Linked DNA regions of Pelodiscus sinensis. The protein of the gene in region 2 interacts with the protein of the main gene of each other region in a pairwise test. Links are inferred from orthologs where the notes say so. Each region holds a gene or a part of one and is shown on either strand. Other genes may lie near its edges. The genes, in order: PER1, CRY1, PER2 and BMAL1.

Evidence for each region.
Region 1: the proteins of CRY1 (region 2) and PER1 interact in binary tests that used the Homo sapiens proteins (3 or more experiments, as listed by UniProt). The link is inferred for Pelodiscus sinensis from reciprocal best matches to the Homo sapiens genes CRY1 and PER1.
Region 3: the proteins of CRY1 (region 2) and PER2 interact in a two-hybrid assay, tested with the Homo sapiens proteins (5 studies listed by BioGRID, with this or other methods). The link is inferred for Pelodiscus sinensis from reciprocal best matches to the Homo sapiens genes CRY1 and PER2.
Region 4: the proteins of CRY1 (region 2) and BMAL1 interact in a two-hybrid assay, tested with the Homo sapiens proteins (3 studies listed by BioGRID, with this or other methods). The link is inferred for Pelodiscus sinensis from reciprocal best matches to the Homo sapiens genes CRY1 and BMAL1.

The regions. Positions count from the first base shown.
Region 1 is NC_134734.1:10,861,773-10,869,302, reverse strand, and holds the start of PER1 (period circadian protein homolog 1), read right to left. Parts: upstream 3,016-7,530; 5' UTR 2,923-3,015; intron 573-2,922; exon of another isoform or gene 54-572; intron 1-53. UniProt on the Homo sapiens protein: Transcriptional repressor which forms a core component of the circadian clock.
Region 2 is NC_134711.1:96,455,399-96,462,444, forward strand, and holds the start of CRY1 (cryptochrome-1), read right to left. Parts: upstream 3,018-7,046; 5' UTR 2,456-3,017; coding exon 2,298-2,455; intron 1-2,297. Other genes in the region: MTERF2 (transcription termination factor 2, mitochondrial), read left to right, coding at 3,187-3,202.
Region 3 is NC_134720.1:10,340,774-10,348,331, forward strand, and holds the start of PER2 (period circadian protein homolog 2), read right to left. Parts: upstream 3,003-7,558; 5' UTR 2,794-3,002; intron 1,593-2,793; 5' UTR 1,390-1,592; intron 1-1,389. UniProt on the Homo sapiens protein: Transcriptional repressor which forms a core component of the circadian clock.
Region 4 is NC_134714.1:101,481,171-101,488,847, forward strand, and holds the start of BMAL1 (basic helix-loop-helix ARNT-like protein 1), read right to left. Parts: upstream 3,007-7,677; 5' UTR 2,661-3,006; exon of another isoform or gene 2,543-2,660; intron 2,340-2,542; exon of another isoform or gene 2,214-2,339; intron 1-2,213. UniProt on the Homo sapiens protein: Transcriptional activator which forms a core component of the circadian clock.

The DNA.
Region 1 (7,530 bases), on a different chromosome or scaffold from region 2:
ATCCCCACCCCGAAAACCCACTCCCGTACCACAGTCCAGCAACTGTGACTCACCTCTGGCAGACGAGCCATCCAGGCCAGGCTCAGCAGGACCGGAGAACAGCTGGGAAGCAGTCCAAGGAGTTTGCACGTGGCAAAACACGGCACCACACCCCCTGCTCTTGCTTACGCACCCCCACCCCTGTGCCAACAAACCCTGGCCACTGCAATAACCTCTGTCCTACTGTATTTTTTATTCTCACAATCTGGCAGGCTGAGAAGCACACCTGGGCTAGTGCGGGATTGCAACATTTACAGTAACCCTGGCATGCTCGCTCTTTCCAAAACAACCCATGACATGCAGAAAGCTCGCTGGCAACTGGCATCCTTTTGCACTAACAAGACACTGGGCTGCGTACGGTCCTGGAGGACAGCCGACATCCCGTTCAAATTGGGCGCAGGGTAGCCACTGCTCTGGAGTCTCAGCACACATGCAAGATTCAGAGTCCCCAAATGCGGAGCAGAATTTCACCAGCTTTGTGTAAACCCTTGGGCCAGCGCCAGGTGATCGGGGCCTCCTGGAAGGGGGAGGGAAGGAGATGCGGTTACCTTCATCCTGAGCCTTGTGAAACTGGGAATTTAGGATATATCTTTTTTTAGGAACAGAACCAATGGCGTTTAATTCCGGACTGGCGAACAGCGAAGCTCCCAGGAAGAAACCTTGATCCTCTTGACTGCCTGGGCCACGGATGTTCTCAGCTGTAATCTGTATGCTGCCAGCCCGTCGTCGGCTAAGCTGGCTTTTTTAGGCTGTACATCTTGTGTCGCCACCCCTCCCCCCCATGTGTACGAGGCAGATCTGTGGAGCACACACAGCCTCCCAGCTGTGCTTTTGGGGCTCCTCCCTTTTGGGCCCAAGAGGGATCAGGGGGCAGAATATCGGCCCAGCTATTTCCGTACAAAGCTGGAAATGTCCCAAAAACAGAAGGGGCATTTTCCTGGACCAGTAAGAGGCAAGTTCAATCTTAGCCAGGAATATGGGACCTGCTGCTCTGGATCCCCCCAGAGCTGAGTCACCCCAAAAGACTGGGAGTCAGGACTCCTGGGTTCTCTCTCCAGCTCTGGAAGAGGTGTGGGGACCGGTAAATTAGAGGAAGGGGATTAGGAGCCAGGGCACCCAGGGCCCTGGCTCAGCTCTGCCATTGTGTGGTCCTGCGTCACTAACCCAACCAGCTCATGCACACAAGGCAACAGCTGCAGAGCAAGTACAGAGGAGAAAAAGGACACAAAAGGGTCACGGCCCAAACCCTCCCAGGACCCCATCACACAAACAGCTCCTCCTCCCGCAACACATCAGTCTCCCGGAACTGGGGCTTCAGGCCATTCAGCCGAGCAGCATGGGGGTGGGGGGAGGAAATCACACAATGACTCAGTCCCACTCACAAGCTGGCCCTTTTTCCAAGCCCCAATTATATAAGCCACTCGGGCCATTATGAAAGGGGCCCACACATACTCAGCAGCCCCAGCTGATGCCACAGGGTCCAGACAACACAGCCAGAGGGGGGTTTCTCTCCTGTCTCCCCCCTCCTCCAAGCACAGCATGGAGCTATCCAGGCACAGCTGGCTGAGATTCAACCAGCCCTGGAATGGAGCATTTGATTGTATGGCAACATGCGGAAATTGGGGGGAGAGGGGGTTGGGGCACACTGGCACCCTGCACAGTGCCGCTGACTCCCCCCACCCAGAAGAATCCACTCCTCCTGGGCTCAGACCCCATCCTGCCTGTGAGCCCCCCAAAACCTCCCCACAGTACCAATGCAACCTCACCAGCTTGTCCACCTAGCCACTTATCACCCACCTCCCTGCAGAGCGTGCAGCTCCTAGTGACCCTTAACCCCACCCCCATTCCTAATGTCAGGTCAGGAAAATTTGGGGGGGAACATATGCCCCCTCCCACATATCCCCAAATCCACTCCCCTGCAGATGCCCACCCTGGATCCAGTCCCCCCAATTCATTTGCCTTGCAGGACCCCCAGCCCCATGGGAACCCCTAGCTATCCCCCACAGAAATGCTCAGACCACCCCCTGGCTTCCCAGACACTCCCCATCTCACAGACACCCTCCATAGCCATTCCCCTGAAAGATATCCCAAAGCTCTCTGCCCTACAGGGCCCCTTGAATGTCAGCCCCTCCCCCAAGGGTCTCCCTCCAGGCTAACCCTTCCTTCCCAGCTACTTTATCTTCCAATGGATCCCCAAGCACGTCTCCCCATAGCTTTCCTCATCTGCTCAGAGCATGGAACCTCCTCAGCTCCTATGAAATCCTCCCACTCTAGAGATTTCCCCATATCCCTTTGCACTCCCATGCCTCTCTGCCTGATATGATCCCCAGTTCCCTAGGATCCAGTTCCTGTGCCTTACCAGCCCTACAACCCACAGCCTATGGGACACTCAGCCTCCATGAATCCCCCCAGCCCTAAGGGACCCAGACCCTCTGCGACCCCTATGTACACCCTCAGCCCACCATGAACCCATTCATACAGCCCCCATGGACTCATCCCCCCAACATCCTCAGCCCTCTGAGACCTCCAACCCCCCCAATGACCCAGCCCTATGGGAATCCCCAACTCCCACGAACACTCTCAGCCCCCACAGATCCAACCCTACCTAGCTACCAACCCGCACAAACCCCGCCTTCAACCCTCCACCCTACAGGGCCCCCAGCCCCACAGACACAGCTCCCCAGTGCTACGAGACCCCAGTTCTACAAGACTCCCAGCCCCTCTGCCCCACGGAACTGCCCCCCAGAGACCCAGCCCCGCCCCTCTACCCTCCAGCCCCACGGGTCCTGCTCCCCCGAGCCTCCTGCTCTGCTTCCCCCCAGGCTGCACGGATCCCCTGCAACCGCCCAGCCCCACGCGCCCCCCGGAGCCTGCCCCACTCACCGCAGCGCCGCGCCCCGTCTGCCTCTGTTTGCGCAGCCCCATGCCCGGACCCACCCCCTCCACCGGACCCGCCCCCTCCGCCACCCATTGGCCGCTCGGCGGCTGCTATTGGCCAGCCGGCTCTCGGGCATGCAGGCGGCCGCGTGAGGCCACGAGGCCCCGCCCCCGGGAGGTGTGGTCCGGCCGGGCATGCAGGCCCGCGCGTGACCCGGCCCCGCCCTCGGTGGCACCCCATTGGTTCGCGCCTCGCCTGGCCCCGCCCAGCCGATCGCCCATTGGTCGGCGCCGCGCCGCAGCAGCAGCTGGGGGAACACGTGCGGGCTCGGCGCACGGGGCTAGCGGCGAGCGGGGGTGGGGGCAGGGATCCGGAAGTACGGGTTCCATGCTTGGCTCGGAGGGGGAGGGGTCCGGATACCTGGGTTCTATCTCCGGCCTTGGCGGGGGGCGGGGAGCCCGGGGCCTCTGGGAGGGAAGGGGGAACGCGGAGCCGGACCCCTGGGTCCCGTTTCTGGCTGGGAGCCCGGATGCCGTGTCGGCCTCTGGGCGGGGGTCTGGGACCCATTTCTCAGCTCCAGCCAGCCCCACGCTAACCGCTTGGAACAGGTGGGGAAACTGAGGCAGGGGACTGCTATGACGTCACTGGCAGAGCCCAGGGGCCTCCCTCCGCCCCTGTAGAGCCAGGCTAAAACCCAGGAGTCCTAGCGCCCAGCCCCTTGCTCTAACCACTAGCCCCTCTCCCGTCCCAGAGGAGAGGAGAGAACCCAGGACCGTCCTGTCCTCTATCCACTAGCTCCCATTAGCACTGCCCGGGAAAGCATATCTGAGTCAGTCCTCAGGCACGAGGCGGATGAAGCGCCCGGCAGCCCCGCCCTATGGCTCATGGGGCTGCGTTCCGGAACCAGAGGTCCCAGATCTGGGGCAGGCCCCGCTCCTCCTCCCAGGATCCATGCTCTGCTCAGTGACTGGGGAGAGTTGGGGCGGAGCCTGGGCGGCTAGGCTAGGAGAGAATGCCTTGTTCCCGTCACTGGGACATCTATTAATAGTCAGAGCTGAGAGAGCCCCGGGCTCCGGCTCTGCGGCACTGAGCTGCATCTGGCTGTGGCAGATCGAGGGAGCCTATGCCAGGGCTCTCTCCAACCCCCTGACCTAGTCTCTCTGGCGGAGATTTAACCTTGTGTCCAGTCCTGGCCCTTCTAACCACTAGACTGCACTTCCCTCTCTCAGCAGTTGGAACCTGGGGGACTTGGTGCAGAATGCAGCATGTGAGATGCCAAAATGGCGGGGGAGGAATTCAGCTAGTGTGATGTAGAAATCGCAAGGATTGGGTGCAGGATCCAGCATGCAAGCCATGGAAATGGGAAGGATTTGGTGCAGGATCCAGAGGATGAGATGTAGAAATTGGGAGGACTTGGTGCAGGATTCTGTAGGCATCTGTATTCCCCATAAGCTGGGTTCTTGTGTAGCCACTAAGGAGAGATTCCAGTGGTACCCAGCTGATTTGCAGAGCACTTTGTGTTTCTACTGGTGGTGCACATTCACACATGCCTCGGTGCAAGTAAAAAAATGTATTCTGCACATGGATGGAAAAAAACCACTGGGCCAGAAATTGGAAGGATTTGGTGCAGAAACCAGTGGACAAGACATAGAAATCTTGAGGATTTGGTGCAGAGTGTAGCCTCTGATACGCAAATCCCCATCGTTCATGAAGAAGATTGGAACAATATTCTAGATGACTTTGAAGATTGGAAGAGCAGAAATAGGATGAAACTCCATAGTCCAAAACACAAAGTCATGCGCGTATAGTCAAGAATTTCTGTGGTAAGCCAGGGGCTTGTCCACTGGAAGCAATGAAGAAGGAAAGTGCTCAAAGTGAGTCGGTTGACTGCAGGCTGAGCTGGAGCCACTGATGTGATGGGATAGAGAAAAAGGCTAATGTGAGCTAGGATGTATCAGGAGAGGCATTGCTGGCAGAGCTAGATATGGGCTGGTGGAGGAGGTATTGGTAAAAACTCATCTAGGACATTGCATCCAATTTGGCTCACCTATGGTGAGGAAAGATGAATTCAGACCGGAACCAGGTGCAGAGAAGAGCTGCTAGAATGATCATGGGAACAAAGGACCTGCCCTAAGAGATGAGATATGAAGAGCTGTCTTGTCTTGCCTGACAAAAAGAGAGCTAACTGGAGGGGGCAGGACGGGAATGGATTTATTTATAAATACATCAGGTGGATTTGGCGCAGGACCCAGCAGACATGAGTCCAAAATTGGGGACAGTTGGCGCAGGACTCGGTAGGCATGATGCTGAAATCAGGGGCATTTGGTGCAGGACCTGGCAGGCGTGATGCTGAAATCGGGGGCATTTGGTGTAGGACTCAGCAGGTGTGATGCCAAAATCAGGGGCATTTGGCACAGAACCCAGCAGGTGTGATGCCAAATTTGGGAGCATTTGGTGCAGGATCCGGCAGATGTGTTGCCAAAATCAAGCAGATTTGGCACAGGATTGGATGTACGTGATGCTGAAATCAGAGGGAACTGGTGAAGGATCCAGCGTGTGTGACCCTGAAATCAAGGGAATTTGGTGTTGGAGCCAGTGTGCTTGATTTTGGCATCCTACAGATTTAGAGCAGGATTTGGTGTGTGAGATGCCAAAATCAAGGAGAATTGGTGCAGGACCGGGTGCACATAACACTGAGATTTAGCACAGGATTCAGCGTGCAAGATGCTGAGATTGTAGGAAAATTGGCATCAAATCCAGCATGTATGACACTGAAATTGGAGGGAATTGTTAAAAGGTCCAGCAGACATGATGCTGAAATCAAGGGGGTTTGGCGTGTGATTCATTGTGCATGTCACCAAGAAGGGCAAAGACTGACTGAAGCTAGATGACAACATTGCCCAGGACAAGTTCAGGCTGGGCATTAGAAACATTTTAAACCATCTTCTGAGATGGCCTCCCTCTGAGAATTGCTGGGGGGGGGAGCATAATTAGTTGTAAGAGGCAGACAAGTGGATGAGGGCCATTGTAAGGTGGGGAGTGGAGCTTGGCAGTCCTAAGGCGAAGGAGAACACATAACAGTTTCTCTTATTTTCTGAAAATCTCAGGCTTCAGGGCCTTGCACTTTCACCTGCAGGGATCAGGAAGGAATTTCTCCCTCTCTCCCAGATGATTGTTTTTCTTTCCTTCTGGAGCATCAGAGCTAAGCCAGAGTTGGGCCAGAGAGCTGAGTTGGCACCAAGCATTTTTTCTCTTTGATGCTTGGCTGGCTCAACTATGTCACTGTCTTTGGGGTTAGGAAGGAATTTTCCTATGATTAAATCGGCAGGGACTGTGATGGGCTAAAATCATAGACTACCCCGCAGTGGTCCCCCGCGGAATGATCTGGGCCGGGCCCTGCCCCGGGCATGTGGCCCTGCCCCTGGACGTGCGGCGCATGTGCGGCCCCGCCCCCGGACGCCCAGCATGTGCACCTGGATGCTCGGCAGCCCTGAAAGGTTGGGGACCACTGCCTTAGGGCTATCCCCGGGTGTGCTAACCACGGCATGAACGACCACCTTTCTTTCCTCTGGGGCTCCCCACCACTCTGTCCTGCTGGGCCAGATCCTCTGGTCTCCCAAGACACAGAGTAGGGATTACTGCCCCCCTGAAGAGTAACGCAGACACTGAACCAGGTTAACTCTGGGAGGGCTAAGCACCCAGGAAAACAACCCCAAAGGGGACCTAACCCCCAAATAAATCCTCCTTACTCCATGTAAAAGTTGTACACAGAGAAAGCTTGTATGGTCAGCCCCCTTTACCAATGGAAGAAAGAGGGGCACAGTGGTTGTCCCCTCCCCCTCCATTTCCCCGTAACAATTATTTATGCTGGGCTTGACAATAAACAAAAATGTTTCTATTAAATATAAATATAGGATTTAAGTGGTTGCAAGTGAAAACAGACCGATCAAAGTAAATTACTGAATTAAAATAAACAATGCTTAGCTAGTACTAATTCACTAAGCAAACTGTTACATATAAATTCTTACCCTAAATAGTTGTTCTTATCTCAGGTAAAGAGAGAGTCAGAGTTGATCTTTACTCTGATTTGAGTTTACAGCTACTTCAAAGTTCTTTGTATTTTCTTAGTGTGCACCAGGCAGTTAAATAAACTTTTCCTTCCTGGGAACCCTTTGTTCCCCACTCCCTAAGGAAAAATACCAGGTTCAAGATGGATTCCGGGAGGAGGAGGGGGAGATAGTCACATGTCTTTCAAAGACCAACCACAGTTGGAGCTTATAGGACAAACATGCCCATTCACAAGTCATCAGTTTGAGTATTGAGTCATTAAGCACTGCAGCACCAGTAATGGCTCTTATTAGTGTATTTAGAATTATAAACAGATCCACACTTCGTATTTCTAACTTCACATACAAGAATGACACATGCATAAGAATAGGATACACAGATTCATTGTAACTGTACAATTTATGTTACGTGACCTGTTTTGCATAAAGTATGAAATTATGCATATCCATAAGCCAATTTTCATAAGGCATGGGGGAGGGGGCTTATGGGAGCGAAGTTGGTTTTTTTCCCACCTTACTCTGCAGTAGGGGGCGGGTCTTTTCCAA
Region 2 (7,046 bases):
CACTAGCTCTCATCTGAATCCACTACAGGTTAAACCTCTCTCATCTGGACTCTCTGGTCTGACAACACCTGTGGTCCTGCCAGACCACGGATGTTGCTAGACTAGAGAGTGCTGGCTGCAAAGGTTGAGAGCATCTGGGAGTGGAGCTGGTTTGGTTAGCTGCAGCCTGCAGGGCCAATCACCTGGCAGCAGGGAGCCCTGGGAGCAGCTACGGCCCTGTGCAGGGCCAGGGAACTACAGGAGAGAGCTTCTGGAGCAGAATGATGACAGCAGAGCCAGGCAGGTGGGTCAGAGGCAGTCAAGCCTCTGCAGGAGCAGCCTGAGGCCAGCTGCGGCAGCTGGTACCCCAGGAAGAAGGCGTGATCGGCGCCCCCACCTGCACGGTTGTCAATGGCTGTGACGTAATCATGGGCTGCCCCCGAGCCTCTGGGTTCTCAAGGGACAGCAGGCAGGAGGGGAACCCCAGGAGAGCCCAAACACCTGACTTCCACATATCCAGCAAATTTCCTTGTTTGGGACCACTCCAGTCTCGAGGGTGCTGGACCAGGAAGTTTCAACCTGTACACTATTTTTGGTAGGGATGTGAACAGTTAACTGTTAAGTCTCTCACCAGTTCTGGTTAACCAGTGTGGGCTGGGGCAGAATCTGTCCCCCTCCCCCTGCAGATAACTGCTAGCTCCTGCTCACTAGAGAGAGGGGGATGGCAGTGTCAGCTGCAAACCCCACCTATAGGGGGGCCAGCAGGGACAACCCACTTCATCAATTAACTGGTTAAATCTGATTTACAGGATTTTACATTTCAAGTATGAAGTTGGTTAAACTTGCATCTTCCTTAAAAACATCACCACTTATACTGTTCAGGATTGACAGGATTTTTTCCAGAGAATTTACATTTAGATCTGTTAAGCCATGTGCCAAAAATATTAAAAAGACCTTTCATGAATTCAGCACCTGGTAGTGGTGCATTTTTGGTCATAAAATAATCATAGCTCAGATATTTAGGGGAGGTAACTGGCCTAATCTACTCAGCACCTAATGAGGTCTCAGCTGAAGCACTGCATCCAGGTCTGGGAGTCAAATTTATGAACAAACTGGAAAGAGCACAGAACAAAAGGTTTTCTAAACCTTTTCTTTCCTAATATCTAGGGGCCCTATCAAATTCACAGATATGAAAAATGGATCATGGAAGCAAATCAGATTTCACAGTCCAGGAAATCTGATCTTTGCGTGCTTTTACCTTATACTATACAGATTCCACTGGAGAGATCAATGTTTTTCAAATTGGAGGGCTCTGACTCAAAAGGGAGTTGCAGGGGAGGAGGGAAGAGTCACAATATTATTTTAGTGGATTATGGTATTGTCATCCTTACTTCTGCACTGAGTGCAGAGCTGAGCTGTCAGAAAGCAACAGTTGTTGCTTGGGTGTCTAGCATCTGAGAGCAGCACCCCATCAGGAGCAACACAAAAGTAAGGGTGGCCTATTCCTACCTATCAAAAATCAGTTCATATTTAGTCTTAAGGGGGGGGAGGAGGGGAGAGAAGAGAGGGAGAAAGACTGATGAGGACCGGATAGCCCTAACCCTATTTGAAGGCTGTTATATAAAAAAAGATAATCAACTGTTCTTTGTGCTCTGAAAACAAGACAATTTTATCTTCATCAAGGGAAATTAAGGTTACACACTAAGAAAATCTTTCTTTCAACAAGGATAGTTACACTCTGGAATAAGCTTCCAAAGTAGACTATAAAAACCCACATTACTGGAGAGTTTTTTTAAGAACAGGTTGCACAAATATCAACCCGGGATTTAGGTTTACTTGGTCCTGCCATGCCATAGGGCTGAACTATAAGAGCTCTTGAGGGCCCTTCCAGACCCACATTTCTATGATTTTGAAGCTAAGCTCTTTTGACTTGCATACACTAGTATCTTTCCCTAAAGTTTCCAGCCACTGCTACTAGCAATGCTCCCCTAATGGAAATCCGAGGGGCTGCAGCCACTAGTCATTAGCTCTCCTTGAGTCATGGTTATACAACACAGCGGATTAAAAACCAGGGGACTAGAGTGAGCGGCCCCCGTGGGAGAACTCCCTTATTTGGGGGGCAGGGTCACATTTTCTTTCGTCGGAGGCCGTTCGGCCCTGTGCTTTGGATGCGGGGCAGCGGGCCCGTGGCGGAGACTGGCACCGCTGCTGGGTCAGGCAAGGCCAATGAGAGCGGCGGGCGGGGAGCGGGCGGGGAGCGGGAGGGGCGCATACGTAACCCGGCGATAACGCGCGGCCGACCGGGCCCGCTCACTCACCGCCACCTGTTGATGCCCACGTTGGAGGAGCCGGCGAACCAGGGGTCGAGGATGTAGACGCAGCGGACGCTGTCGGCGCCCTGGATGCACTCCCGCAGCGCCGGGTTGTCGTGCAGCCGCAGCCCCTTGCGGAACCAGTGCACCGCGTTCACCCCCATGGCCCGGGCGCGGTCCCGTCCGGAGCGGTGGGAGGGAGGGGGGATTCAGGAAGAGCCGCCGCGGCTCATGCCGGACCCGGGTGGGTCTCTGCGGGGCAGCCCTAGAGCGGGGCGGACGCCGCCCCCGCCGTGGCGACACTGAGACGCGAAGCTGCTGCCGGGGTCGCTGCCTCCGCTCGGCGATCGTCCGTTGGCTTTAGGACCCCGCGGAGGCGACAGCGGGGCCGGCCGCCTCAGGGGGGCACATCCCCTCCCCTTCCGAAATCCCCCGCGCGCGCGCGGGCCGCCTCTTGCCACGAGCCCGTGGCTTCCTCGCCGCTCGCCCTGTGACTCGGTGCCGGACTCCGAAGCCGACAGTCGTTAAGCCCCGCCTCCCGCCTTCTTATTGGCTGCCGCCGCCCCACCTGACTCGCCGCCCTCACGTTCCCGAAGTGTGTTTAGTAAGCCGGCCGGGAGGGGCCGCGGGGCGCGCGGGCTGGGGCCTCGAGGACAGAACCGAGCGCAACCGCTGCGCTAGAGGTCGACCACCGATCCCGTTCCGCTGGACACACCCGCCTGCCTGCGCGGCTCGGGAGCCCAACTGCGGGGGGGGAAGGGGACGGCACCTCCGTCACTGCGAGCCCCGCCTGCTCCGGGAGAAGCCCGGATGAGCACGGGGCGGCGAGGAGGCTCCGGGCGCGCCTCTTAGTGCGCATGCTCCCCTGCGCACGGCAGGCCGTAAACGGGCAGTTATGCAGAGAATCCTGCGTACGTCAGAGGGACGTTCGTCAGCAGGCGTGTCACGGGCGCGCGTTGGCCCGGCTGCCGGAGGCTCACGTGGCGGGCGCGCGGGAGGGGCGCTGGGCGGCTGCGGGGGCGGGAGGAGCCGGCAGGGACACGGGCTGGCGCTTGCATAACGAAGCTGCGCGAAGTGCCGTTAAAGCCGCAGCGCCCCCACCGCTCTGCGCACCTGCCCGGGCCCGCCTCTGCGTGTCGGGGCGCTGCCAGCCCCAGGCAGTGCGGGCCCCGGGCCGGAGAGGCGGGAGCCCCACCCCAGGGCAGTCAGGCTCGTGCAGAGCTGTGCTGATGGCTCAGGAGAGCAACTCCTCGGTGTCCTTCCTCTGCCCTCCCTGCCCCTTATGCTAGCTCACCCTTAGGGGTGAAAGTAACTTAAAAGTTCTTGCAGGACTGTCTTATTGCAACCCCCCTTGGGGCGGTGCCTCAGCACAGGGCGAGGCTTAGGGATGTTAAAATGTGTTTAGGTGAAATTATATAACTGCTGAAAATCTGTATCAGAGACAGCAGTGCAGAAAAGCCAGCTCCCCATGTGCACTGGCTCCTGCCTGTGCCCAGGAGCAGCCAGAGACCAGCTGCAGCAGCTGGCGCCCCAGCGGGCATACGTGATCGGTGCCCCTGTTGGTAGGGCCGTCAATGGCCTGATGTCATGGGCAGGTGCCCCCATGACATCATCCTTGGGCACACCGCGTGGCGGCGCCCCAGGCGGCGGCTGAGTCGCCTATAGCCATGGGCTGCCCCAGCCTGTGCCCCACCCACTGTCGCCTCTAATGGGGGGAGGGAAGAGGTGGCTCCCTGAGGCTGTCTACACTAGTGGGTTTTTGCGCAAGAACCCGCAGAATGTCCACACTGCCTCCCTGCCCTTGTGCAAGATTTATAGTACGGCCTCGGAAGACAGGGCAACTTGTGCAAGAGCTATGCTCTTTTCTAACACATGTAAGGCCTCTTGCACAAGAGCTCTTGCGCAAGAGGGCAGTGTGGACGAGCGGCAGGGATTTCTTGCGTAAGAAAGCCCTATGGCTAAAATCGCCATCAGAACTTTCTTGTGCAAGAGAGCGTCCACGCTGCCATGGATGCTCTTGCACAAAAAAACCCTTGCACAAGATGTTCTTGTGCAAGAACCCAACAGTGTAGACATAGCCTGAGTGCCCACTGCTCACAGAGCTGGTTTAAAAACCCTTCTTTCCACCCCTGTCTGCTCCCTGCACAGGGCTTACTTCTGCTTTGCCTCTTCCTCTTCCACACCCCACCCCTTGGATTAAATTGGCAAGAGCAAAGGGGACAAGTGCTCACTTTTGCCAAAAAAAAGTTGGGAGGGCAGGGTCAGAACTTCATAATAATTTTTAAAGTTCCAGCTAAAACAGGATGTGTGGTCACTTTAGAAAAATAAATCACCTTTCCTTCAGCCAGTTTATAATCCATCCCTTGGTTATGTGCTAGCCCTGTGTGACAGTGAAATGAAATGATTAGAAGTCTAGGTAAAACTAGGGCATGGCTGTGCTGCAGCTGAATATCTTCCCTTAATCTAGCCAGAACTACACTAGGAATTAATTCAGCATAACGATAACATTATGTGCACATTTTTCTCACCTTTGAGCAACATTGCTTAAAATTTAGATTGACATAGGCCCAGCCTAAGCCAACTCAGGTTCATTACTCAGTAAATGATTCACTGAAAGATTAAAAACCCAGCAAAGGTAAAGTAAATGCTATGATCAGCTCTAATACTAAAGCATAACTATGAACACAAAACCATGTTCCTTTAAATGCACCTTTAACACAATTTTCCCTAACCCCAAGACACTTATCAAATTTGCTTTTATATATATTTCTATGTACTCTTGTAATTACTTTCTATACTTTGGCTGTTTCGTTCTCAAGAGCTTTCGGCTACGTCTATACTGCGCTCTTTTGTGCAAGAAAATATGAAAATGAGGTGAAGCAGTGAATATCGCTGCGCCTCATTTGCATACTTAATGAGCCACCATATTTGCGCAATGGGCTTTTGCGCATAAAGGAGCCATCTATACAACTCTTGCGCAAAAGCTGCCTCTTGCACAAGAGCTGTTCTGCCTGAAAAAAAGCGGCAGAATGGCTCTTGCGCAAAAGCCCCTTGTGCAAAAAGGTAGCTCATTAAGTATGCAAATGAGACATGGCAATATTCATTGCTTCACCTCATTTGCATATTTTCTTGCACAAGAGGAAGCAGTCTAGATGTAGCCAGTATGTTTAAGAGCAGTATAAGGCTAGGCACTACATTTTCCCCTCAAATCTCAGCCATCGTTGTTATAAAGGAGACCTTAAACTGAATAAAATTCTAACCACAGATGAAGATAATTCATGAATTGAAATAGGTCACTTTTTTAAAAGTATCCTCTATAAGATGAGCTTTGTAAGTTGCATTTAAGGCAGTATTCTATTGACCCACTTTCACAATAGGGAGGCCTTTTTGAATGTAGTAGGTTAAAATGTTTATCTTGTTTATAATAGAGATACAGGTAGAATTAATACAAGTCCCAGATAATCCGGAGATACAGCTAAGCATGTTCAAAATAATAAATTTAAAAACCCCACAAAACCTAAGAAAGTTTTTGTAGCTGTTTGAAAATCTTGAATCAGATTGTATTATGTGCACAGTTCCAAACGCAACTAAGAAAGGACTGCTGGGTTGGGACACATATCCCCTTAAGGCTGTAATCTGGTGGGCCGACCATACGGCTGAACTTGCCTACCTGCCCTTTGAGGCACTCTATCACCCTGTCTTACTGAGTCAGAAACTGGTCTCTCCTAGTAAAAGCACAGAGATAGATATAAAATAAGTGTTAGAGAAAGGAATACCAGGAGTTTTGTTCATGTCTCGTTGTACATTCAGTGAATCATAGAAATATAGTACTGAAAGGGAGTTTGAGAGGTCACTTAGTCCATCCACGTACACTGGGACAGGGCCAAGTACACCTAGCCTAGACCATTCCTGACAAAGGATGGTGGTTCCACATCTTCGCTTAACCTAAAAGGGTAATTAAGCCCTGAAATAGTTTTCTTTCTGTTAACCTATCTCCTTCTCTGTAAATTAAGCAGATAATTTCTTGTCCTGTCATCAGTGGGCCTGGAGAACAATTGATAACCATCTTCTTTGTACAAGCTCTGGACATATTTTCATCTGGTGAAGTGGGTCTTATTGATGAAAGCTCTTGATGCTCTATATTTTTGTTAGTCTCTAAGGTGCCACAGGACTACTTAAATAAGATAACACCAAAAGTTCAATGGTAACAAATTCACTAAACAACCTTTTCTCATGATCTCATTATTTTTTGTCACAGTTTTTGGGCCTCTAGTAATATCCCAACTCAATTTAAAATCAGCATTTACCCACATCTACATAAAATGTGATATATTGAGGTTTCTTGGCCATAGAAGGAAATCAGGACGTGAGATTTTGTTCAGTTTGGGAGACTGAGAGAGATATTGGCCTTAAGCTAATATGTTAGGTGAAGTGGACTAGGAGCTGTAAGCTATATTTAGGTAAGATTTTATTTTTTGGAACTTTTAAGTAGCATACCTTTCAAATGTTTGTTTATTTAATAATTACATTCTAATTTTTTAAATAAAGGAAGTTACTTTATTTAAAATCTTAATTCCACTTTCAAGTCTGGGAATTTTATTAAATCCAAACATGCCTCAGTGCCCTAAATTGGAACATTTATATTTAAAAATGGCAACAATACTTGTATCAAATGGGAAAATATGAATATAAGTGATTCTCAGAGAGAAAGATGTGGTAGTGCTTAGCACTCTAATTAAGGAAGAAGATTCATCA
Region 3 (7,558 bases), on a different chromosome or scaffold from region 2:
CTTCGCAAGCGGGGAACCCCTGAGAACTGTCTGTCCGGGGTGGGGGTCGGGTCCCTTTAGGCACAGACTCGGCTAGCCTGAGACAGCAGCTGCACGCTCTAAGTCCTCATCTGATGCCCTGCCGGCACTGCTTCCGGCCAGCCTTAACCTCGGTTCAGGGTCCACTCAATGTGGACGTGCTAGTTTGAATTAGCAAAATGCTAATTCGAACTAGTTTTTAGGTCTAGATGCACTAGTTCGAATTAACTAATTTGAATTAAGTTAGTTCGAATTAGTGCTGTGGTGTAGACATACCCTCGATTAGCTAGTATGACTGAAAAGTACACCCTTTGTGAAAATCAAGAGGGGCCTTAATGTCCTGTCGTGCACATGTGTGACAGCAAGGAAGAACCAACAACTGGTACTGGCCCTTTCTCTTCTCCATCTACCCCTCCTCTGGCTCCTGAGGTCTGGAAGCTTACTTTATTCTCTTTTCAGAGGGATCAGGAAGGGCCTAGGGGGTCAGGAGCCAGCCCTCGAGACAGCTGGTCTTTCTTAGGAAGGAGGTGATTTACCAGGGAGCAGCACCACAGGTTTTTAGGGGATAGGGCAATGAATCCAGGCAACTGAGTTGGGGCTTGTTCTGGAGAGGCATATGGATGACTGATTGGCATGGGGACAGACAGAAGGAGGGCTGAGAAGTGAGGCTGGAAAGGATAATACTGGACTGGAGAAGTAGATGGTTTTAGGACAGGAAGGAAAGAAGGGTGTTCCATGTTCAAGGGAAAGGATGAGTATGTTGAGGACTAGGGCAAAATTTTGGTGAATTTCAATCTTTGCTTTTCCCTCATGAAAACTCTCTTCATCCTTCACTTCCTGTGCCAGCCTGAAGAGTACCTGAGCCCAATGGCTTCCTCATCAGCAGCTTACCTTCATGAAGGAGAAAGAGATTCATCAATCCCCACAAGAGGAGAAAGGCTCTTCCACCCCACTCTATATATATGCTATGTTGGAACTGGTTTTGTGCATACTTGCAAGTTTATTTTTGTTGAGCTAGGGCTGGAGGTTTTGCATACTGTGTCCATTTCATCATTTTACATATCACACTATCATATTTAGATTTTTAAATTAAGCAATTTTCTCCACAGAAGAAGTTGTTTGAATTGTTCTCTCATTTCAAACAGCACAAAGATCTGAGGTTCTCTGAGCTATAGAGTAGGTTTATGTCTATCTCTATTCAACGTCACGATTGCTTTCGAAGACTACCTTAAAGAGTACAATAGCTTACTTTTCAGCATTAAGAAAAAAGGTTGTTAAAAGCCAACCTACTCTTACAAGGGCTCATTAGAGCAAAGTGAAAGTAAATACTCTATGAGGCAGATTTAAACAAGAGATATCTATCCTCTTTACCTTGCAATTTTTCCACCAGTATTTTCTCTTCAGTTTGGCTGCACTGGTTTCAAACTGTGAGGCACCAGCTTGTAATGCATCTGCCCGGTTGTCAAGCTCTGAAAGTTTTTGGTCTCTTTCTAGAACCTTGTCTACATTCACTCGCATGATGTCCACCACCAGAAAAGATAATCCTCGGTTAGCACACTTCATACATGGAAAGTCTGTATTCACAGGAAATGCTCTTTTAGGAGGTGAAGGAAAAAAATTACAGCTTGCTGTTACATAGACAATTCCTCTGTTACAGGGCTACTTAAACTTATCCTGGGAGTCCTAGGTAGACAGTCAGGTGAACATAATCATGCTGAGCTCAAGTGTCTTTACAGACTATACAATACTGTGATGTTAAAATGTACACTAGTTCTTTCCATGAAGTTTTTTTAGAGAAACATGCACTGGTGCTTTAACCCCATTAGCTCCTTCACTATTGTTAGAGGAAACAGGCTGGCTAGCAGACACTAGCACATTTGCAATATGTGCAAGCTAATTCTGAGTGCTGGTTAGGGACACAAGTCTAAGCTTTTGTTTTTGCAGTTGATAACTTACAATAGGGAAACTCTATTATAACTATAGAAGTTGGCTTGATAAGAATTTATAATAGAAGTTACCACAATTTATCAGCTCCTACTCATGCAAGATGATCCCCTAACCATAGTGTGAAATCCTGTTTGGTATTGGAGGACGGAAGGACATTTTACACAGAAAAACTCCAGTCATTGTTAATTTCACTATGGCCTTGATGCTCAAACATCATAGATCAGAAGAGACATACAGAAAGTCCTGGGAGAAGCAGAGTAATTCAATTTTTGCATGCAAATTGAAATATATTTACTTTGATTTTAAGCATTACCGTAAAATCTCAAGGAAAATGTGCATTTTCCCCCCCATTTTTTAGGGTCAAAGCTAGGGTACGCATGCTACATAGGAGATTTTCTGTTAGGCTGTGTCTAGACTGGCCAGTTTTTCCACAAAATCATCTGCTTTTGTGGAAAAACTTGCCAACTGTCTACACTGGACGCTTGAATTTCTGCAAAAGCACTGACTCATGTAAGATTGTCACTGCTTTTGCAGAAATACTACACTGCTCCCGTTCGGGCAAAAGTCTTTTTCTGAAAAACTTTTGCACAAAAGGGCCAGTGTAGACAGCAGAGATTTATTTTCCGCAAAAAAGCCCCAATCGCGAAAATGGCGATTGGGGCTTTTTTGCGGAAAAGCGCGTCTAGATTGGCCACGGACGCTTTGCAGAAAAGCATCCTGCCAATCTAGATGCGCTTTTCCGAAAATGCTTTAATGGAAAACTTTTCCAGAAAAGCATTTCCAGAAAATCATGCCAGTCTAGACGTAGCATTAAAGTTTTTAACTCACCCTCCCCTCTGCACAGAAACTTTCCAGCTGCAGCGCGGTGCCCTGCCAGGCTCCCGGACAAGGCGAGGAACCAGTGGTGCCGCCAGACTGCAGTGCCCTGGCTTGCTGCCTGCCCGGTCTCGGCACGGTGCATGGGCAGCTGGTCAGGGAGCCCCCGAAGCAGACGCGAGCTCAGCTGGAAAGGCACGAGCTCAGCTGGGCAGAGGGCCCCTGCGGCAGGCGCAAGCTCAGCCAGGCTCCCAGACAAGGCAAGGAGCGCCCTGGCTCACTGCCTGCCCGGTCTCGGCAAGGACAGCTGGGAGCGGAGGGGAGGGGGGGGGCCAAGGGGCCCCGTGACAGGCACGAGCTCAGCATGGAGTACAGGCAGCTGGGTGGGGAGCAGGTTTCAAACTCTGCAGCTGGCTCCCCAATGCTGCGCGTGTGTTTCCCGGGCGAGCCTGCAGATGGGAGCGGCCCCTTCCTTCCTATATATACCATAAAATTGCAAGTATAATGCGGGTGCGCATAATATATAGGAGTTCACTTTTTTCCATGATTCTGATGTTGAAAAGGTAGGGTGCGCATTATACTCGTGATTTTACGGTAATTGGTTAAAGTGCCCAAACAGAAATCCTGATCCAAATTCATCAGTGTCTTATAAAGGTGCAGCATCTGTTGAAGTCAATAGGGTTTTGCCCACTTATGCCAGCAATAAATATGAGACTGGCCTGCAATTCCTTATAAATTACACTGCAGACTATGTCAGTTGTCCTTAATCTAATTTTAATCTGTCCAGAAGAGTAATAATTAGCAAAGAAAAATTAGTCAAACACACTTTTTACATAGTTTTAGGGAGTAGCTGAGTTAGTCTGTAATGGAAAAAACAACAAATGGTCTGGTAGCTCTTTATAGACTAACAAAACATGTAGATGGTATCATGAACTTTCGTGGGCACAGCCCACTTCTTCAGATGACCAGCATTTTGAGTTTAGGATGTGCAGACCCAAAATAAATAGGACACTATCAACCTAACCTTCAATGAAGGTGCAAACAGCTCTTTGCGTAGATTCCTGAGTTAGGAAGTGTACTATCTATTGACTTTGATTCTTATCTGCTTTGTTTTAACTACTCAATCTTCAGGTGCTTACTGATTCCCAGCTCTGCCATCCTGTTTTTCCCTTTGATTTTTCATACCCTTTGCTCCTTGTTTCTCACCACTTTTCTCCTCCCCCCCCCCCCCCTTCTCTCCTATTTAGTTTGGGTCTGCACATCCTAAACTCAAAACTCTGGTCATCTAAAGAAATGTGATGTGCCCACGAAAGCTTATGATACCATCTACATGTTTTATTAGTCTTTAAAGTGCTACCAGACCATTTGTTACCTTTTACATAGTGAAAACTGTTAAATTCTCTAGCAGAGACTGGATGAATTATAAGATGCACCTTGTATTTATGCACAAGAGAAGACAAAAGATAATGGGGCCAGACCTGCTCCAATTGAAGTAAAAAGCAGAAGTCCCATTACCTTCCATTGGAAGCAGAATTAGGACCTATGTATAAAATCCTGGCCTCACTGAAGTCAGTAAAAACACAGATTACAAGTGAATGAACTGAAATGGCCCCGTAGTAACCATAAATTTCTGTTGGATTTCCACAGTGCAAGTGTTTGGTGCCATCTAAAGGACACTTTCCCACAAGACACATTGAAAGAAAAACATTTTCTAGGAAAAGACTGCAGGAAGAGGGCCAGGTAAAAGCATGAAGACCAGATTCTCAGCTGTGGGAATCAATACAATTCCACTGAATTCAAGGGATCTGGCTTGATACACACGCCCTAATCCCAATAGAGTTTTACCTCTTTGCTTCTAGTCAGCCTGGGTATGTCTACACAACAGCGCTATTTCAAATTAACTTAAATTAAATAGTTAATTCGAATTAAGCTACTTCAAAATAATGCATCTAGACACAAACTGTATTTCAAAATAGCATTTTGCTATTTTGAAATAGTGTGTCCACACTGATTGGACGCTGGATCGCATTTAAGGGCAGCTGAAACCAGTTCCAGCAGGGCATCAGGTCAGTAATTGCTTTGTGTGGCTGCTGTCTGAGGCTATCTGAGGCTGGTTCTTAAAGGGACCCTCCTGGACAGCCAGGTCTCAGCTTTCCTGCTTGCTTGCCTACCTCGCTGAGGGACAGCAAAGCATTTTCCTCTCTCTCTGCTTTGGTTACTCTCATTTGGGATACCACAGCACTCGGCACTCTTCTGAAAGAGTAGGGTTTTCCAAAATTTGGCCCAGTGTAGATGGGCCAAATTTCTGAAAAGCCTCTTCTGACAAAACTATCAGAAAAAGGTACGCAAATTGCAGAGTGTAATTTGCATATCTTTTCCCAATAAAACTCCATAGTCTAAACATAGCCTCTGCCACCTTCAGAAATCATTTTGGATATGTCTACGCTAGCCACCTGGTTTGAACTAGAGATACTAATGTAGGCATTTGAAATTGCAAATCAAGCCCGGGATTTAAATATTCTGCGCTTGATTTGCATGTTCCCAGCTGGTCGCCATTTTTTAAATTTACAAGCCTGGACTAACTGCCTCCCGCAATGAGGTTTAACAGGTAGTTCGATTTAGGGCTTTATTTCGAACGCCCGTTTCCCTGCCGCGTGTAGACGCAGGCAGTTAGTCTGGGCTTGTAATTTCAAAAATGGCAACTGGTCGGGAACATGCAAATCAAGTGTGGGGTATTTAAATCCCGGGCTTGATTTGCAACTTTGAATGCCTGCATTAGCCTCCCTAGTTCGAACTAGGGGGCTAGTGTAGACATACCCATATATAGTAGCCCAATGTCTGTGACTCTAATGCTGAAACACTGGCTGTTCCCTCTGGGCGGCACTGTTGCTTCCTGCCATGGTGTTCAGCTAACTTCTGTGCCGCTCAGCCAGGCTGCTGCACAGAAGCAAGTGGCGCAAGTGGCTGTTTGGGGTCCATGCTGCATGGGGAGCGCGGGGCCCAAATGGCTGCTTGTGCTGCTTGCTCCCCCGCAGTGGCCCGGCTGAGCAGCACAGAAGTCAGCCGAGCGCCACTGCGGGAGGCAAAGGGGGGCGGGCGGTGACGTGCAGCATGACGTGTGGCTTCAGGCCCCACCCCCTGGCCATGAATAGACCCTGGCCGGGGGGAAGGTGGGAGAACGAGGGGGAAGGAGAGGTGGAGGACAACTGGGAGGCTGTAGGATCAATGCTGGGGTGAAGGGAAACGGTGCATGGGGACAGCTGGAGCTCATAGGCAGCCGCTCAGCTGGGCTGCCGCACAGGAGCAAGTGGTACAAACAGTCACTTGGGCTCCGCGCTCCCCATTCAGGAGGAGGAGAAGAAGAGAAAGAGAGTGAGAGGCAGGAGGGGGTGAAGAGAAAGAGAGATGGAGAGAGAGGCGGGAGACGGAGAAGAGCTAAGAGAGAGGGTGGGGGAGGCAGTAGGAGGAGGGGAGAGAGAGCGAGAGACCGAGCGAGAGACCGGAGGCTCAGGAGAGAAGACCGAAATAGAAAGGGAATAGGACATGGAGGAGAGACCTGAAAATCCCATTTTATGATGACCTAATTGGTTGTATTAAAAGAGTAAGTAAAGAGGAGATGTTGGAAGAGAAAGGGGACATACAGATCAGCAGACACACAGCTGTAAAATGGCTGACTGCTTAGGGCAGCATTTATTTGTATCTGCACATGTAAAAGAACAATAGCTCCTTAAAAGGTTTTTCAGGGGAAAAGCCCCAGAATTAAGAATTAAGTGCCATTGCCACCTACTGAGGGACCATTTGTCTGTAATACTCCGTATGAGCCTTACTTGGTAAACTGACCCAAAGCCTGTTAGAGACAAAAGAAAGACTCTCTCAGACAAGTAGAATAAAGGGAAAAATAGATGGCCTCTCTGGGGTATTGCCATTCCCCCAGATTTGGAGACCTGGGAAAAATGGGAAAGTTATGAGTATAATTTAAGCAGTGGTTGTGGAGTGATACCTCGGCTACGTCTACACTGGCCCCTTTTCCGGAAGGGGCATGTAAATTTCACGAGTCGTCGTAGGGAAATCCGCGGGGGATTTAAATATCCCCCGCGGCATTTAAATAAAAATGTCCGCCGCTTTTTTCCGGCTTTTAAAAAAGCCGGAAAAGAGCGTCTAGACTGGCCCCGATCCTCCGGAAAAAGTGCCCTTTTCCGGAGGCTCTTATTCCTACTTATTTCCCTACGACGACTCGTGAAATTTACATGCCCCTTCCGGAAAAGGGGCCAGTGTAGATGTAGCCCTCGTGTTTGTTTCTTGACAACTGGGAAAGATCCCAGGTGTGTCCTTTAGCTCAGTTGCTCTTGCAGTGAAGCACTGAAACATCTAAAGCTGGGCAAACTTGAATGTGCATGGGGCAGCAGCCCCCTGCCTGATCAGCTCTGTGGCTACTGGAGTCAGGAAGGACTTGTTCCTCCCAGCCTTTGTAACATAGCAACCTGTGAGAGTGAGGGCAGATCATGATGAAAGCTGCAGTAATCTTCTTCCGAGCTTCCTTCCCCACCCATCACACCCTGAGCCTGCTTATCTCCATGAATTTGAAAAAAGTGCTGCAGAAGCTCTCAGTCCTGCTAGTAGAACTGCCAGATACACCTCTGCATTGCTGTTGGTAGAGCAAAAAAGAATAGCCAGTGGGGACGGGATAGAGAAGAGTGAACTGCCTTTTCAACCAGTGTGCTGAGCCTGGAGAAGAATAGCAGCATATGTAGCTTTTGGATATATACGGAGAGGAGGA
Region 4 (7,677 bases), on a different chromosome or scaffold from region 2:
GCTTGGGAAGCACCCTTCCCGCCTCCCCCCAGGCTCCTAGCTGTTCAAAAATCACATGGCCCTGCAGCCAGCGTAGGACAGGGCAGGGAGGGAGTCTGCTTGGGAAGGCTGCTGGCTGGGAGTCAAGCAAATAAGTCTCCCAGCCAGAGCCTGCCTCTGGCACCCCAACTCCTTTTGCCCCCCTCCCCACCCCACATAAACTCAAAATGTCTGCCCCCTCCTTCTGCACCCATGTCCCCTCCCAGATTCCGTATCTCAATCCCTTGCCCCAGGTCAGAACCCAAAAGACTGCAACCTAGTCCCCTTCCCCAGGTCACACCTCAAAACCCTGAACCCTAGTCCCCCTAACCCAGGTCACCATTGACAACTTCACCCAAACTCCCTCCCAGACCTCCCACTCTCTCCTGCACCCCAGTCCCTTACTGTAAGTTCCCTTCTGCACCCAACCTCCATCCCAGACCCCACACCTCCTCCATTAATATGGAAGAGTGCAGCCCTTGACCACTGTTCAAATTCTTGGAGTGCCCCCCCATCAGAAATTATTGCCCACCCCGCTCTAAATTCGAGCAAAAACAAAATGAGTACTGTGGCACTTTAAGACTAACAAATTTATTAGGGAATAAGCTTTTGTGAAATACAACTCACTTCCTCAGATGCTGAAGACAGAAAAGGAAGGAATGCAGAGATATTATGAGTGGTACATCAGTGCTAGTTAAATCAAAGTGGATTTCTAAATTCTGATTCTTGTTCATGTATCCTTCATCTACATGACATACTGAAAGTTGGGGAAACAGTTTTTTCTGAAATATGAATAATTTAGAAAATGGAGGTATTCAAAGAAATAAATATCTACTGTTCTCAAATGGGGCCTTTTACACACATTTGGTTCACCAATTATAAACAAGTTAAAAATCAAAATCACTGTATTGTGAAGCCACAGTAATTGTTCTCCATACATAAGCACATTTCATTAAAACGCATTATATTATTTTCCTCAATCTGGATATAAATAACAGCTACCAATGAACATTCTAAGCAGCAACAGTGCTAAACATGACAACTTTCAAACAACTAATCAGAAGTAAAACATTTTTAATAAAAAAAAAACCAAGCACTGAAAACAACCAACCAACAACTAAGTGAAAAAATATGCAGTGCTCAGCAGCTCATTTAGATCATGAGGGGAGGGAGGGACAGTCTCTTACTTTCTAACACAGTGGTTTTCTTTAGAACAGTGGTCTGTTCAATGATAAACCAGAGTCTGCAGACTATAGTTAAGATTTCAGAGGAATTCACACCTCTGTTTGAAAAAAGTTAAGGATCTAATCATGAAAAAAAAAAAAAACTTTGAAAACCACTATTCTAACACAATAGGATCTTTATTAGGCCACTGAGTGCTACTATAAATATTTGTATTCACTACATACATTTTGTATTCATCAAACTGTCCCATTCCTCACATGAGCAAACTCTTCACACAGGTGCAAAATTTCTGATAGTTAGTGGAGGCAGCTAACTGTGGGATAATAGGCTCAAGGGTGGCTTAGATAAAAAAAAGAGAGAACTGCAAAGACTCCAAACTACTTTAAATATGATCTAATAGCAAGATACACTGGCCTACTACACTTTTTCCTGTTTTCTTCATCTGCCTTTACTGAAAGAGTTAATGTAAGAGGCATGAAATTTTTTTTTAAATATTAAATTTAAAAATAAGCTAGTTTTGAAAGTGACATCTGTCAAACTCAATATTTTAGTATCCCTTCTCAGTCTTGCTAAGACAGGTTGTTTCACTTCCTTTAAATCGGACTCTTCCTAAAATTAACATATAACAATTCCACTCCCAAATAACAAGGTCTATTTAAATACTGCTTATGGGGAGGCTGGGAACGCTCATACTTTGGAGAGCACATGAGGGGACTGACCCACACTTTGTTCCAGCACTGTATATTTTCCTCCCGAAACAATCATTACAATTACCTCAGATTTACAAGTCAAGCAATTTATTTTAACCAATGCACTAACAACTGATGCATGACATCTTCCACCATGTAAACTAATCAATGGAATCGACTTGTCGCTTTTCTTCCTGTGTATTATTGAACCCATTTCATTCTGTTTGGCTTCTTACTATTTCTTTGTGTTCCTATATAATATTCCTATAAGAGTTTATTTATAATGTATTATATAAGAGGGACTATTTAACAAAGACAAACCTCAAGTCAAACCAGTCAGCGTGTGTCAGCCACAAGCAGGCGCGAGGGGATACTATGCCCACGCTGAGATCCGTGCAAAGCCTGGGTCCTAGGGAACCGCTAATGTAGGCGCGCACACACACTTGTAAGGATTATCTATGTGGGATGCCCACAAACAATCCCCCCGCTGCTCCCGCGGGCTGCCCGGCCCCAGCCTCTCACGAGCCCCAGGAAGGAATCCCCCCCAGCCAGGAGTCCCTGGTCGCCCCCGCGCGATGCCTGGCGGCAGCCCCTCCCCCCAACAGAGCCCCCCGCCCGGGCCGCAGCAGACCCAGCCCGTCTCTCCTCACCGTACGGGGAGGGGGTCGGTGCCCCTCTGCGGCGCGCTGAGGGCAATGAGCAGTGCAGGCAGCCCCCGTCCCTGACCTACTTTCCGCCTGGCTTGCCACCGAACGTCGCACCACTAACCTACTTTCCAGCCAATGGTTGCTCCCCCCGGCCCGAGCGCTAACGTCCCTATCCGCCAATGAGCGAGCTGCTCTGAAAGGTCGTCGTCCAATGGCTTGCAAGAGGGCCTCCCGGAGCTGCCCCTCAGAACTTCGACCAATCGGCGCCTGCCAGAGGAGAGGCAGCCAATCAAATCAGAACTTTTCAGTTTTCCTCCCGCCCCCCCATGAAGGTCTAACTGGGGGCTGGAGGGAGGCGTGTGCGATAACAGGGCGGGGTCAGCGATTGCGTAAGGCTTGCTGGCGGGCGGGACCCGGATGTGCCGCTGCCGGAGCGCTCTGTGGCGGCCCCACCCCCTGGAAGAGCGGGGCGCGCTCGGCGGGCAATTCTTCCGGTGGGGCAGTTCGCCACAATAGCGTCACAGGCTGCAGTGTCGTCACCGTGACGTCAGCCTGCCTGTCAGTGCCATGACGTCACTGGACCAGGGATGCAAAATCCCGTGTCATGAGTGAACCGCTTAACCGTGTGTTAGCGCCCTGTCGCCCCCCAGCGTCGCTGCAGCGGGGCCTCCCTGCTCCCAGCTGAGCCGTGTTCCCGACCAGGGAGGTCGCTTCTGGGCTGGCTCCCCCCTTCCTTCCACCCTGACCCCCCCCCTTGCCTGCACTCTCCCGCAGCCCAGCTGGGCTCCCCCCCACGCACCAGAATCCTGGCCCCCCCACTCACCACAGCAGCCGGGACTCTCTGACCCTGGAGCATCCATGGTCCTGCCCTATCGCAAATGTTCCCAGATCAGAGAATTCCGGTTTACAGAGGTGGAACCTATCCCTTGTAGAGCAGGGTCACTGCCTTACATTTTAGCGGACATCAGACCAGTCATTTTTCTAATGTCATAAAACTAGCTTATTTAGGAAAAACTTAAAAACCAACAAATAGTCTGGTAGCACTTTAAAGACTAGCAAAACATGTAGATGGGATCATGAGCTTTTGTGGGCACAGCCCACCTCTTCAGATGACTGGAGTATAATAAGTCCAGATCCAAGAATAAATAAGGGAAGCGGGGCGGGGGGGGGGGGGGGGAGGAGCGAAGGGAAGGGGAGGACAGGAATAAAAAGAGAGATTGTTAAAGTTACAGGAGGCTATTATGAACCATTAGCACCTCCGTTGTTTAGTTGGTTTATGTCATTAAAAGGTGGAAAATAGTGTGGGTTCAGACCATTAGCATAAAAATTAAACTTGTAAATGAATTTAAGTTCCAATCCTTTTCTGTGTATTTGGCTTGTGGAATTGGTCTGAAACAATTAAATGAGCCTCTGATGTGGTACCTAAAGTGGTTGGGTCCAGTGATGAATTTGTTTGTATAGATATAAGGGCAGAGTTGGCACCGGGGATGATTTCAGGGCTGTTGCCCTGGGCTGAAGCTGAAGCCCTACCACGTAGGGCTGATAAACAAGATCTATCTATTCTGATTATCCACAATCATGCCCTAATACCAATTAGATAATCAGGGTTCCACTGTACATGTTTCTGTTTTTATTTTTCACAGATGTAAAAACTAAAGATGCTCTATAAAAATGCAGACTCCAGGTGTTTTTTTCCTGACAAACAGATTTCCAGGATCTCGTGTGATGACACGGTAGCTACATCCTGGCTCAAGGCAATGATGTTGCCGTGGAAGTGATGTCGTGACACGACAGGGATGATGTAGCACCATGAGACAAGGCTAAGGTTTCCAACTTTCTGAATGACGAAACCCAAACACCTCTGTCCTGCCTACGCCACATTCCAGCACAGCAGAGCAGAAGATGACATAGAAGCACAAGGTGGTGATGTCACAAGCACATTGATGACACTGCAGCACAAGGGAATGGCTTTGCTACTGAATATCAATGGTATCATTTCACAATGTGCTTGCACAGTGTCAAAAATTGATGTGTCTAAATGCAATATTATTCTACAAATCTTAAAGTGTACTAGTCACCTCACAAAGCATAGTAAAGACACATTGTCCCAGTTTACAAGCTAAATTTAAACATGCTAAGAAGTGGGTAGGAAGAAACATGAATATCTCAGTACTAGTACACAATGGGTATGTTTTGTGCCACTGCAGTCACAATGTTGTTGCGTTCATTTATTTTGCCATACCCAAACACTGCATTGTATTATCATTATGTGAACCTGTAATTATCACATCCCATTGTCTCAAAATCTCCCTGTCCAATTGCCAATCTTACTGATTGCATCTTGAAAAATTGTTATCTTGAAAAATAGTTATGGTAGGCACAAAATTTGTTGCAAATTTCTACTTATAAAACTTTAAAAACAACTAATAGTCTAACAGCATCTTAAAGACTAAAAAAACATGCAGATGGTTTCATGATGGTATCAGATGAAGTGAGTTGCACCCACAAAAACTCTTGATAACATCTATATCCCCTTTTGTTAGTCTTTAAGGTGCTGCTAGATCAGTGTTTCTTAAACTTTTTAAGACCATGGAACACCATGTCTTAAACACCAAAATAGAGAACTCTATAATAATGGGGGATTTTAATTACCCCCATATTGACTGGATACATGTCACCTCAGGAAGAGAAGCGGAGATAAAATTTCTCAATGGCTTAAGTGACTGCTTCTTGGAGCAGCTAGTGCAGGAACCCACAAGGGGAGAGGCAATTCTCGATTTAGTCCTGAGTGGAGTGCAGGATCAGGTCCAGGAAATAACCGTTACAGGACCACTTGGGAATAGTGACCATAATATAATAACATTCAACATTCCTGTGGTGGGAAGAACACCTCAGCAGTCCAGCACCCTGGCATTTAATTTCAAAAAGGGGAATTACATAAAAATGAGGAGGTTAGTTAAACAGAAATTAAAAGGCACAGTGACTAGAGCCAAATCCCTGAAAGCTGCATGGAAACTTTTTAGACACAATAATAGAGGCCCAACTTAAATGTATACCCCAAATTAAAAAACATAGCAAGAAACCTAAAAAAGTGTCACCGTGGCTTAACCACCATGTAAAAGAAGCAGTGAGGGACAAAAAGGTATCTTTTAAGAAGTGGAAGTCCAATCTTAGTGAGATAAATAGAAAGGAACATAAACACTGTCAAATCAAGTATAAAAATGTAATAAGAAAAGCAAAAAAAGATTTTGAGGAACAACTAGCCAAAAACTCAAAAAGAAATAACAAAATGTTTTTTAAGTACATTAGAAGCAGGAAGCCTGCTAAAAAACCTGTGGGTCCCCTAGATGATCGAGCTATAAAAGGAGCAATCAAGGACAATAAAGCCATTGCGGAGAAACTAAATGATTTCTTTGCTTCAGTCTTCATGGCTGAGGACGTTGGGGAGATTCCCGAATCTGCACCGTCCTTTGTGGGTGATGAATCTGAGGAACTGTCCTGGATTGAAGTGTCATTAGAGGAGGTTTTGGAACAAATAGAAAAACTTAATGTTAACAAATCTCCGGGACCAGATGGCATTCATCCAAGGGATCTAAAAGAACTCAAATGGGAAATTGCTGAACTATTATCTGTGGTTTGTAACCTATCCTTTAAATCAGCTTCTGTACCTAATGACTGGAAGGTAGCCAATGTGACACCAATATTTAAAAAGGGCTCCAGAGGCGATTCTGGCAATTACAGACCGGTAAGTCTAACTTCAGTACCGGGCAAATTAGTCGAAACAATAGTAAAGAATAAAATTGTGAAGCATGTAGAAGAACATAATTTGTTGGACAAAAGTCAACATGGTTTCTGTAAAGGGAAATCCTGTCTTACTAATCTATTAGAGTTCTTTGAAGGGGTTAACAAATATGCGGATAAGGGGGATCCAGTAGATATAGTATACTTGGATTTTCGGAAAGCCTTTGACAAGGTCCCTCACCAAAGGCTCTTGTGTAAATTACATGGCCATGGGATAAGAGGAACGGTCCTTTCTTGGATTGAGAACTGGTTAAAAGACAGGAAACAAAGGGTAGGAATAAATGATAAATTTTCAGATTGGAGAGGGGTAACTAGTGGTGTCCCCCAAGGGTCAGTCCTGGGACCAATCCTTTTCAACTTATTCATAAATGATCTGGAGAAAGGGGTAAGCAGTGAGGTAGTAAAGTTTGCAGATGATACCAAACTGTTTAGGATAGTCAAGACAGAAGCAGACTATGAGGGACTCCAAGAAGATCTCACCAAACTGAGTGATTGGGCAACAAAATGGCAAATGAAATTTAATGTGGATAAGTGTAAAGTAATGCACATCGGGAAAAATAACCCCAACTATACATACAGTATGATGTGGGCTAATTTGGCTACGACAAATCAGTAAAGAGATCTTGGAGTTATCGTGGACAGTTCTCTGAAAACTTCGACGCAGTGTGCAGCGGCGGTCAAAAAGGCAAATAGGATGCTAGGAATTATTAGGAAAGGGATAGAAAATAAGACCCAGAATATCTTACTGCCCCTGTATAAAACTATGGTACACCCACATCTTGAATACTGTGTACAGATGTGGTCTCCTCACCTCAAAAAAGATATATTGGCCTTGGAAAGGGTTCAGAAAAGGGCATCTAAAATGATTAGGGGTTTGGAACGGGTCCCATAGGAGAAGAGGTTAAAGCGACTGAGACTTTTCAGTTTAGAAAAGAGGAGACTGAGGGGGGATATGATAGAGGTCTATAAAATCATGAGTGGTGTGGAGAGGGCTGATAAAGAAAAGTTATTTATTAGTTCCCTAAATAGAAGAACTAAAGGACACCAAATGAAATTAATGGGTAGCAGGTTTAAAACTAATAAAAGAAAGTTCTTCTTCACACAGCGTGTAGTCAACCTGTGGAACTCCTTGCCAGAGGAGGCTGTGAAGGCTAGGACTATAATAGAGTTTAAAGAGAAGCTAGATAATTTCATGGAGGTTAGGTCCATAAAAGGCTATTAGCCAGGGGATAAAATGGTGTCCTTGGCCTCTGTTTGTCAGAGGCTGGAGAGAGATGGCAGGAGACAAATCGCTTGATCATTGTCTTCGGTCCCCCTCTCTGGGGCACCTGGTGCTG